3 linked regions of the Sus scrofa genome follow. The protein of the gene in region 2 purifies or fractionates together with the protein of the main gene of each other region. This does not show direct contact. Links are inferred from orthologs where the notes say so. Each region holds a gene or a part of one and is shown on either strand. Other genes may lie near its edges.

What was found.
Region 1: the proteins of ARHGAP12 (region 2) and TJP2 purify together in Homo sapiens (co-immunoprecipitation; 3 studies listed by BioGRID and IntAct, with this or other methods). This does not show direct contact. The link is inferred for Sus scrofa from reciprocal best matches to the Homo sapiens genes ARHGAP12 and TJP2.
Region 3: the proteins of ARHGAP12 (region 2) and ASAP1 purify together in Homo sapiens (co-immunoprecipitation; 3 studies listed by BioGRID and IntAct, with this or other methods). This does not show direct contact. The link is inferred for Sus scrofa from reciprocal best matches to the Homo sapiens genes ARHGAP12 and ASAP1.

The regions. Positions count from the first base shown.
Region 1 is NC_010443.5:222,523,524-222,527,614, reverse strand, and holds the start of TJP2 (tight junction protein ZO-2), read right to left. Parts: upstream 2,864-4,091; 5' UTR 2,690-2,863; coding exon 2,609-2,689; intron 1-2,608. UniProt on the Homo sapiens protein: Plays a role in tight junctions and adherens junctions. Acts as a positive regulator of RANKL-induced osteoclast differentiation, potentially via mediating downstream transcriptional activity.
Region 2 is NC_010452.4:42,472,770-42,476,416, reverse strand, and holds part of ARHGAP12 (rho GTPase-activating protein 12), read left to right. Parts: intron 1-284; coding exon 285-407; intron 408-2,705; coding exon 2,706-2,807; intron 2,808-3,647. UniProt on the Homo sapiens protein: GTPase activator for the Rho-type GTPases by converting them to an inactive GDP-bound state.
Region 3 is NC_010446.5:10,442,835-10,446,481, forward strand, and holds part of ASAP1 (arf-GAP with SH3 domain, ANK repeat and PH domain-containing protein 1), read left to right. Parts: intron 1-2,276; coding exon 2,277-2,755; intron 2,756-3,647. UniProt on the Homo sapiens protein: Possesses phosphatidylinositol 4,5-bisphosphate-dependent GTPase-activating protein activity for ARF1 (ADP ribosylation factor 1) and ARF5 and a lesser activity towards ARF6.

The sequences.
Region 1 (4,091 bases), on a different chromosome or scaffold from region 2:
GCCTACACCACAACCACTGCAACGCCAGATTTGAGCTGCATCTGCGACCCACACCACAGCCCATGGCAATGTCAGATCCTTAACCCACTGAGTGAGGCCAGGGATCAAACCTTCATCCTCATGGATGCTAGTAAGATTCGCTTCTGCTGAGCTACGAGAGGAACTGCCACTATGCCATTTTAGATAAAGAACTTAAGTATCCTAGGTTTCTGGTATCCTAGAGGAATCTTGGAACCTCCCCTGCCCCAGGACACCGTGGGATGACTGTACCAGCTACTGTTTACTTAGCACCCACTACAGGCCAAGCTCCCTACGTCATTTCACTCAATCCTCATTCAACTCTGTGAGGTGTGTTGTTAACCTCATCTTCTATATTGGCTTACCCTGTGAGGTATCTGTTCAAATAGTGAACTTTTTTTTTTTTTTTTGTCTTTTTAGGGCCACACCCATGGCGTCTAGAGGTTCCCAGGCTAGGTAGGGGTCTAATCAGAGCTGTAGCTGCCGGCCTACACAGCCAAAGCAACTCCAGATCTGTGCTGCATCTGCAACCTACACCACAGCTCACAGCAACTCCGGATCTTTAACCCACTGAGCGAGGCCAGGGATTGAACCTGCAACCTCATGGTTCCTAGTCGGATTCATTTCCACTGGTCCAGGACGGGAACTCCTGAACTTTCTTCCTAATAAGAATCCCTGAAGGGGAGTTCCCGTCACAGCGCAGTGGTTAACGAATCTGACTAGGTACCATGAGGTTGTGGGTTCGATCCCTGCCCTTGCTCAGTGGGTTAACAATCCGGCGTTGCCATGAGCTGTGGTGTAGGTCGCAGACACGGCTTGGCTCCTGTGTTTCTGTGGCTCAGGCGTAGGCTGGCAGCTACATCTCCGATTGGACCCCTAGCCTGGGAACCTCCATATGCCGCTGGAGCGGCCCTAGAAATGGCAAAAAGACAAAAAAAAAAAAAGAATCCCTGAAGGGAGTGTGCACAGGAAGACCCCACACTTTGTTGTATTTTTGTACTGCACAGTGTGCATCTGTGCAGCACACTCCCTCCTTTAGCCACAGCAGAGAGAGCCTGCAGTCCAAAAAACATCTAAAATTTTCAGATCAAACAGACTCTTGAAGTTGAGTCTTACTCACCTCACACCCCCACCTCCCCAACAGTGGCCGGGCACAGGTGGGTGCTCATTAATTTATTAACTTCGCGGTCCTAAAAAAGTTGCAGCAGCCATTCTGGGGGGGGGGATCCCCCTTCATCAATCTTTGGCAGTAGCTCTGAAAAAGCTCAAGATACAACTCAAAAGCCACCACTGCCTTAGTAAAACACTCCTTTCTCTCAGCTCCCCAGAGAGAAGCAACTCCAGCATCCTGTCCCTATTTCTAACTGGAACTATCAGTCTTCATCATTTACAGGTTTCCCCAACAAGACAGTGTGGTTGGTAGAAGCACACTCTTAACATTTCTATTTTCCACACTGAGATGAAGGTGCTCATAAAAATGTATTAAACAACCAATTTCATTGTTTTAGGCAGGATAATAATTGGCACTTTGGCGCAAAAGCAATCACTACTACTAACTCCTCAATTAAAATGAAAACCATCTGCTTCCCACGTATGCATGTAGACTGTCTTTCCCAGGAAGAATCCTGACAAAAATGACCCTGTTCTCCCAGCATGACCTTCAGCACCTCCAGCACAGACCATCTAAAGATCTGAAGGAAAAGGGCCGCTTTCCTTCTGTGATGGGATTCCCCTAGCTGAAGAAGGGAGGGCAGTTTCTACCACGGGATGAGACTCCACTGGGAACTGCTGGAAAACCACAACCATTACTCAGGCCAGACAGCTGCCAAGGAAGCAGCACTGCCTCGGAATTGAAGCTAAAATAGAGGTGGGAGGGTTGTATTCCATTACTAAGCCCTGGAGTATTCACTCCCAAGTTCATCCACGTTTCAAGAATGTTAAAACCCTGTAGGCAAAACCCTGATTATTTATAACTTAAACTACTGTGTAAAGCAGAAACTTGACAAATGAAAACATAAAAGAAAAGGAACTGGTGACAGGTAAGATAATACCAGAATACAAAGTATTCATCACTCCCTTTTTGGGGGGTCCTCCAAAACCCTATCTCCATTCCCTGCCACAAATAACTTTTACTTATACTGCCGACTAAAAGAGATTGAAAGGGAAAATGAGGATTCCCATCTCCAAAGAGTCGTCAGTTCGTCTCATGCACACATGCTCTAACTTTGCATCAATTACAGAATAACTGGTTTGAAACTAAGAAGGAAAACTCAAAAGCAAACAACAGGCGACATAACAAGCTCAACGAGATGCCTCAAAGGTAGCAGGGATCCAAAACAGAGTTCAAGAGAGTTTCCCCTACTCGCGACTGAAAACCAAGTGACTTCATAGAACAGAGAAAAAGATTCAGGAATCCTGGAGGCCCTGACCCAGCACCTCTGCCGGCGAAACCTACTCCCTGCCCTCAACTCCACCTCCGGATGGAAGAATCCCAGCCACCTACAGCGCATCCGGGAAGCCCACCACGCGCTCCTAAGCTCTCTCCTCGCGACCCTTCTCCCAACCGAGCGGGACGCCAGACGGCACTTACATGGAGCCAACTTGACATCTCCCGCCTGGGTGGAAACCCGCGATCTCCTCGCACCGGCATTTTCGGGCGCGGGTCTCTCATGGACGCACCAGTCCCGAGCCCCGCTCCTCCTGATACTCCGGGCGGCAGGTCAGTTCTCAGTCCGTCAGCCGCGTTTTGCCTGGGTGACGGCCCCACGGGGACCCACCCCTTTGTCCCTCCTCCCGCGGCCGCGGCGGCTGCGGCGTCCGCCCGCCCCCGGCCGCAGGCAGCGCCTCTGCGCCGGCCGCCGGCCCGGGAAACTCTGAAAAGGGCCGCTACCACCCCCGCGCGGCCCGGGGGAAGGCTTGCCAGCGCCGCGCCCCTCAAGTCCCCACCGAGGGTTCGGGCTCGCGCGACTCCCCGCCAGGGACGGAAGAGGGTGGAGGCAACAGGCAGACACCGAGGCCCCAGCTTACCGCGCCCCCCACGTCCGAACCTCCCCCCTCTCCGGCCGGCCGGATGGTTCGCTCCGCGGCATGCACAGGGCCTCAGGTCCCGCTCCCGCCCCGCGCGTGCGAGGGAAGCGCTGCAAGTTTGCTTGCAGCGGTAAGTGTGGGGTGGCGAGTTAGTCAGCAGGTTCTCCCATTAGAGATCCTGTAAGAATGCTTTTTGGAGACTTTTGCAGCGCCCCCTCCTCGGTTCTCTTCCGAAAGGAAGAACCCGGGAAACCCCGAAGTTTTTGCTGTCTTGCCTAGAGGCTGGCAACACAGGGCACTGTACCCCAGGTTTTTCAGCTCAACAATTCCCCGAATTCCGAGGGTATAAGATGTTCATGTTAAAGAATAAAACATGATTTTTGAGGGAAATATACGCCAGGTTATCTCTTTGGCACATTTCCAACAACTCTAATAAAGAGATGGAAACTCCTCTCTCATCACTAGCTTTTAAAAGGCTTTTTTTTGAAAAATAGGTTACAAATACTTATCAGGCAGGATTCATCAAATTCAACTCAGTACATTTATTTGTTTTAGAGTCCTCTATACGAAGAAATGTGCACAATAAATAAAATCTTATTTGGGGAGTTCTCAGAGTGGCACAGCAAGTTAAGGATCTGGCATTGTCATTGCTGTGGCTCTGTCCCTATCCCATGCCAAGGGCACAGCCCCAAAATTTTTTTTTCCTTGTTTTAAGGTAATGTAAGTTATTTGGAAAATCAAGACAGGTGCACTGATGTAAAAAAATAAAACTTTGGGTTTGGACTCTAAGGAAACCACACTGTAAGAAAAAAAAAATGTGGCCATCCTGCTCTTCTAAATTGAAAAGCAAAACTCGGCCCAGGCTCCCAAGAAGGTAAAAGGTAAAAGGTCAAAATGGATCCACTGACGAAATGCAGATGCCCGGCTCTCTCCCTAAAAAGTTGCTTCACTTCCTGCCTAATCAAAACAAGTTTGGCAGTTTATGTGGAAAAACAAGTCCAGCAGATGCCTCTCTGAAAGTGTTAGGCTTCTGGCCTCCTTTGGAG
Region 2 (3,647 bases):
AGTCTTCCAGTGTGAACAGAAGGGAACACAGGTCTGTGTAAGGTAAGTTGTGTAAAGCATTTACTTTAAAAATAAAACATGAATTTACCTAATAACAGCATCAGAAAATACTCTGAAGTAAATTCTGGGGCCTTTGGAAAAGATTGTGGAAATTCAGCTTTGCCTGTGTTGTGTGGCTTGCAGTTGTGTTGTCCTATCTGGTTCCATTATGGTTTTCTCATGTATGTCATGTTGCCATTGTGCACTATAATGACATCGTCATTTTCTTCCCTTTTCCCATCAAGTCATTCTGCCATCAGGGCTCAGTCTCTGAGCTCCTGCTCTCGCTGCTTTCTTCTTGGAAAAACTCTGTCAGCCGCCGGCCTGCTGTCGCATATGTAAAATCTGATCCTGTTTCCGCTGTCACTGTATGTGTTCTTGTTGCATGTCCTTTGTCACAGTAATTCTGTTTTCTTTGCTGTGAATGCATCAAAGTGATGATTACATGGAGAAAAGCAGGACTAGATTTTCAGAAATAATGGATAACAAACACAGAATTTTGCCAGCCATATTGAAGCATTTTTACTAGCATTCCATGTCACGTCATTGTATTTGTATTTGGTTGCTATAATTTATTGGTTGGTCACTGATAGCTTAGCTTTATAGCTAACCATCTCCAGAGCATGTCATGAAAAATTAAATTGATTTTTATCATTTTGTTAAATGTATCCATTGAAATTTTATAACTTTGGAGTAAATTGGCTCAGAAAGTTATCTGTGCTTATCATAGCTTTATGATGAATTACGTGTCTTTTAAATGGCAAAAGGTACTAAAGATGGCAAAGGCTTTGTAGAATTGTTAAAATTTTTATTATTATTTTTATTATGATTCCACTAATAAAATTCCTGGAATATCCTAAATTTGATTTCGATTCCAGTAATAAATTCCACATAATATCCTAAGTTATAACAAGTATATTATGTAAGTTTACACTGCTAGCCAAAAAGATGAATTAAAAGGAACAGATCAAGTTGAACCATTTATTAAATGTGAAACTGTGGAGTAGTCCTTGACATTATGAATAATGAATAATTTATCTCAATGGGTAGGATCCATTTCCAATGGCAAACAGAATTTGACTTGAAAATATTTTGGCAAATGAAATTTCCGGTATCAAATCTTTATGACCTTAAAGATTACAATTTATCAGCTCATAAAGATTTTAAACCTCCTGACCCTACAATAACATTGGGAATACTTATTTTCTCAGCAAACAGACTAAATAAAATTTTAAGTTATAATGGCAAGATATGGAGTAAGTCTACATTTAACATAAGTTTTCTGCCATATGCTAATTTTTCCTTATCTGGCTAACAAGATATAATAGCTAACTAAGTGCTTTTTCTTCTCAAACCACCCTTGTCAACTGTCTTCCTGTTGTTATCACAGTTCCTCATTAAATTGCTGAGGCTTTAGAGCATCTGGCTCTCATTTTTATTTCTAACAAAAGCTGAATAAAAGAACCTGGGGGTTAGAATTTTGTTTTTACAAGTTATTGTTAGTTGTTGACAACTTAAATTGTCAATAAGGAAATAACTCTTGAAAGCACAAAATCAGGTTTAGAGAATGTTTATTAGGTGGAAAAAAATTCTATCAGGTATTATTTATACATATGTAAGAATATTGCCTTTTGACATATCATTTGACATAGTCCTAGGTAGTTTAGAATAAATTCCAAAGAATAGAATTGCAGAACCAAAGAATACATGTGTTGATACATTTGTAAATAAAGTTATTGCCAGGGAGTTCCCGTTGTGGCTCAGCAGGTAACCTGACTAGTATCCTGGGTTCAATCCCTGGCCCCGCTCAGTGGGTTAAGGATCCAGTGTTTCTGTGAGCTTCGGTGTAGGTCGCAGACAAGGCTCGGATCTTTCATGGCTGTGGTGTAGGCTGGCAGCTGCAGCTCTGAATCGACTCCTAGCCTGGGAACTTCCATATGCTACACGTGTGGCCCTAAAAAATAATATAAAATTAAAAAATAAAGTATTACCAATTTTTTCCTCTCTTGGCATACCAGTTTATACCCCACTTGCAAATGAGGGCCTATTACTCTACAGCCTCACCAAGAGAGTTTTTCAGCAAACTTTATTGTTGTTGTTGCACTAATGGGGGAAAAAAGATTTTAGTACTGCTTTAGTTTGTATTTTTTAAAATAATGATGGGTTCTGAGCCATTTTGTTTCCTTTTCTATGAACTGTATACAATCATGTCTTACAGACAGTTTTCAACTTAAAATAGGAATTGTTATTTTGTAATATAAAAAGAGAGGAAGCGGAGTTCCCGTTGTGGCTCAGAGGTTAACGAACCCGACTAGGATCCATGAAGATTCGAGTTTGATCCCTGGCCTCGCTCAGTGGGTTAAGGATCTGGCACTGCCTTGAGCTCTGGTGTAGATTGCAAATGTGCCTTGGATCCTGCATTGCTGCACCTGTGGCGTAGGCCAGCAGCTGTAGCTCTGATTGGACCCTAGCCTGGGAACCTCTGTATGCCACTGGTGCAGCCCTAAAAAGCAAAAAAGAAAAAAAAAAAAAAAGGGAAAGGAAGCATTCTAGGTGATCACCTGTTTGAGTTATTACTAATAATATAAAATTGGTCTTAATTCTTTTTGGATACACATATGTGCATGAATGTAACAAAAACGTTTTTCCTTTTTTCTCAAATGAAGTTTGGGAGTAATCAGTCCAAACCAGAGTTCACAGTGGACCTCAGAGGGGCAACAATTGAGATGGCATCAAAGGATAAATCCAGCAAGAAGAACGTATTTGAGGTAATTTTTTTTCTAAGTGTAGTTCACATTCTTAACCATAGTGATTGTATGTTTTATATTGAATTATTTTGGGAAATTGTCTTCTAGTATGACTCGTTAAGGCCAAGTTAGTCATAAAGTCAGTTTGTATCATAATTCAAGGAAGAAAGCTTGGCTTCGGATCTCAGATTATATCTTACCTGCCTTTGTTCCACAAGTCTTGCTTTCCCCAGCAACAATAAAAGGATGTGGTCCCCTTTACCAACAAAATTTAATATTAAAAAACAAATTCAGACATTTCCATTTGTCATAAAAGACCATCCACAGTCATACACAGTCCTCTGTCAGTTACTTGTTGCTGCCTGAGGAGAGAACCATTTGTTGGCTCAATTTGGCCTGTGCTGAGCCGAGTGGTTCTTCTGACCTCATGCGGTGCTGTTCATGGGGCTTCAGTTGTCCAGCAGCGTGAGGGGCCGGATGGCCTCGTTCCCATGTCCACTGTTGGTGCCAGCTCTTGGCTGGGCTCCTTCTCACTGGATCTTTTTTCCTCAAGGAGGTGACCCCAGTCTTCACATGTCAGTTCTAAAATGGCCAGAGTAGGGACTGTAGAGCTCCTGCTGCTGCTGCTGCTTTTTTTTTTTTTTTTTTTTTTTTTTTTTTTTTGGTCTTTTTCGGACCACACCCTTGGCATATGGAAGTTCCAAGACTAGGGGTCGAATCATAGCTATAGCTGCCGGCCTACACCACAACCACAGCAATGCGGGATCAGAGCCGCATCTGCGACCCACCGCACAACTCGCAGCAATGCTGCATTCTTAACTCACTGATCGAGGCCAGGGATCGAACCTGCATCCTCATGCA
Region 3 (3,647 bases), on a different chromosome or scaffold from region 2:
CCCTAAGGGAGAAGCCCAACCCCTTCCTTTCTCACATGAGCTTCCACACTGGCTTCTCCCTCCACCCTAATGTCCAGGCGCTTCTCACTGTGTCCTCCGCTCACTGTGGCCCCGGGGACCGTCCTCCCTCGTCTGGATTCTTTTTTTTTTTTTTGTCTTTTTGTTGTTGTTGTTGTTGTTGTTGCTATTTCTTGGGCCGCTCCTGCGGCATATGGAGGTTCCCAGGCTAGGGGTCCAATCGGAGCTGTAGCCACCGGCCTACGCCAGAGCCACAGCAACGCGGGATCTGAGCCGCGTCTGCAACCTACACCACAGCTCACGGCAACACCGGATCGTTAACCCACTGAGCAAGGGCAGGGACCGAACCCGCAACCTCATGGTTCCTAGTCGGATTCGTTAACCACTGCGCCACGACGGGAACTCCCCCTCGTCTGGATTTTTACAGTGCACGTCTAGACTGCCTGCTTCTCCCCGGGCTCCACAGCCTGTCCCCAACAGAACAGCCAGGGTCATCCATGTTACATCAGGTCACTCCTGGCCCATCCAGCCAGTGGTTCCCTGAAAAACAAGGTATATTTCTGAGCCGCCTCAGCTGGCAGCAGAAGGCATCGGGGATGCTGAGAGGGCCAGTGCTCCTGCCCTGCCCTGCCCTCCCCCCCACCCCTCCGCAGCACCTGCCACCAGCAGGACTCTCACGTGGACTGTCCTGGCCACATTCCACTCCTTCTCCCTCCCAAACATCACCCGTTTTTGAGCTCCTTTGGGCACCTCTTAAAAGGCTTAATTAAAGCCTTCTCATCTAGGGATCAGCAGCACAGAACCCTTTTTTTAAGTGAGTTTTAAAAGGAAATATTGAATTTTTTTAAAAAATGTCTAGTCACTTACGGAGCATGATAATGTGAGAGAATGTATGTGTACCTGGATCACCATGCTGTACAGTAGGGGGAAAAAATTGTATTGGGGACATAAGAATTAAAATCAAAAAAAAAAAAAAAAGAAATATTATAGGAACTTCAAGGGATCTTTCAACCTGAACAGCGTCTCCATGGTTCTGCGCTGCGACCCAGCTCACTGGTCCCTTACATTCTTCTGCATCTGTCATCATGGTGAAAGCACGGTTCTGCATCATAGGTTTCAACATGCGTATTTCTCACGTGTTCGTGAGCTCTTTGTGAATGTCGTCAGGCCCCTTGCTCTTTGGCTAATTGGGCGCCATCCCTGGCCTTGGCACCCCCTTTTATTGGAAATGTGTGCTGCGAGTCCTTCTCTGCCTCCTCCTCGGTTCTGTCCGTAGAGTCCATTTTCAGGAGCAGAACCACTGCAGCCGAAGGGAGGGCCTTCTCGGCAGGCCCCATTCTGTGCCCCAAAGCTTCTCAGAGGACCGAGTCCACTTGTCTCACCTGTCCTGCCTGTTGATCCAGCTGCACCATAACCTCCGGGGACTGGGGAGGGGCCGGAATTCTCACTCCTTTTTTATTGGTGGTGTGCCTCACTCTGGCAGCGTGCTGCTTGGTGTCATCCAGCTCTGGGGGGAAGCTTGCTTGTCTGCCCTTCAGAGTTAATGCAGTTCAGGGAGTTTCCATTGTAGCTCAGCGATAGTGAACCAGCTGGTATCCATGAGGATTCAGGTTTAATTCCTGACCTCACTCAGTGAGTTCAAGGATCCAGCATTGCTACCAGCTGCAGTGTAGGTCACAGATGGCGGCTCGTACCTGGCACTGCTGTGGCTGTGGTGTAGGCCGGCAGCTACAGCTCTGATTCAACCCGTAGCTTGGGAACTTCCGTATGCCCTGGGTACAGCCCTAAGAAAAAAAGAATTTTATTAATATGCAAATATTCTTGCTAAAACAGTGTATAGATAAAAGCAGATAACTGTTTTATTTGTGCAAAATATATAGAAAAGTCCAGAAGGAAATACATCAAAATACTTGAAATGGCTACATTTAGGCAGTAGGCTTATGGAAAACTTTAATTATACTTTTCATTTTTTTTGTAATCTGTTTTGTGTGTATAGTTGTGGGGTTTTTGCTTTTTCTTTTTTTTTCAATTCTGGATTAAAAATTTGGACATCCTGTTCTTGTATAATGGAGACTTAAAATCTTCTGTTGTAATGTGTTTACCTCCCAGGCTTCCAGCTCTTGACCTGTTTGCAAACAGGCCTCCGTGTGCCTGCACGGCGCTCCCTCTGGGTGGGGTCCCCTCTGTGTGACCCTGAAGGGGGAGGAAGGCAGGGCATCCCCCATCCAGTGACCCCTCTTTCTGGTTGTTTCCTGCAGTGGCATTAAGGAAAACAGAAACCAGCCATCATCTCTCCCTCGACAAAGCCGGCGTCCCGCCCGAAATCTTCCAGAAATCATCCCAGTTGGCAGAGTTACCCCTGAAGCCACCACCTGGAGACCTACCCCCGAAGCCCACGGAACTGGCTCCCAAACCCCAAATTGGAGACTTGCCACCTAAGCCAGGAGAGCTGCCCCCCAAGCCGCAGCTGGGTGACCTGCCCCCCAAGCCACAGCTCTCAGACTTGCCGCCCAAGCCGCAGATGAAGGACCTGCCGCCCAAGCCGCAGCTGGGAGACCTGCTGGCCAAACCCCCGGCGGGAGACGCCTCGCCCAAGGCTCAGCCCCTGGAGCTCACCCCCAAGTCACACCCGGCAGACCTGTCCCCAAACATCCAGAAGCAAGCGTCCGAAGACGCCAATGACCTGACGCCCACCCTGCCCGAGACACCTGTGCCGCTGCCCAGGAAGATCAACACGGTAGGTGGGGCACGGGGCCTGGGGGTCAGGAAGCAGGCTGGCCTCAGGACCTGCCCTCCCTGTGACCGCAGGGCCTGGGCCACTTACTCCCATTCCGTGAGCCTCAGTCTCCTTATGTGCAGAACAGAGCTGAGCCGGTGCCTGAGGTCATGGGCAATGAGGTGCAGAGAGGCCCAGTAAACACTCAGCTGGTGGCTGCCCTCCGGGATCCTGGTCCCCGGGAGACAGTGCCCTCGGGTTTTGAGCCTCTCCCACCTGCTCCCTCTCCTAACATCTTCCCGGAGGAGCTGAACGCAAAGCCCAGAGATGGTGCCCCAACAGAGAACTTGGCTGAAGTCTCCCAGTTTTACTGTTAACATAAATATGCACAACCCCCTCCAAAAAAAAACAAAAAAAACTTGTTTTTTTTGTTTTTTTTTTTTTTTTGGAAAAATGAAGCCCCCGGGAAGATGCAGGAGTGTGGTCTGTCCTGCCCAGGGCCCCACTCCCACAAGGGCCCAGCACCTGGGTTGAGGAGCACGGTTAGTTGGGGGGACCAAAAGCCTCTGCTCACAACCTCTTCCTCATAAAAACAATGCTGCAGTAAAAGGGTGTCACTTCGGTACTGAAGGAAGAGTGAGGAAAGTGGAACCCTCCTGCCCGGTGGGAGACGGTGTGCACGCCCCTTGCAGCTGCTTCGTCTCCCCAGGGCCATCCCCGGATGGCCAGGCACCACCCACAGCCCTGACTGCACGGTGTTCCAGTGTGTTCGACTCCATGTTTTACCATTATAGTATCTCATTTAACCCTTCCTGTTATAAACAGTTGCACACAGGCTTCTTTGACCCCAGCAGCTCCAGCACAGCCCGCGAAGGGGCCTGTGAAATGGAGCAGGTCTCCCAGGGTGACCCAG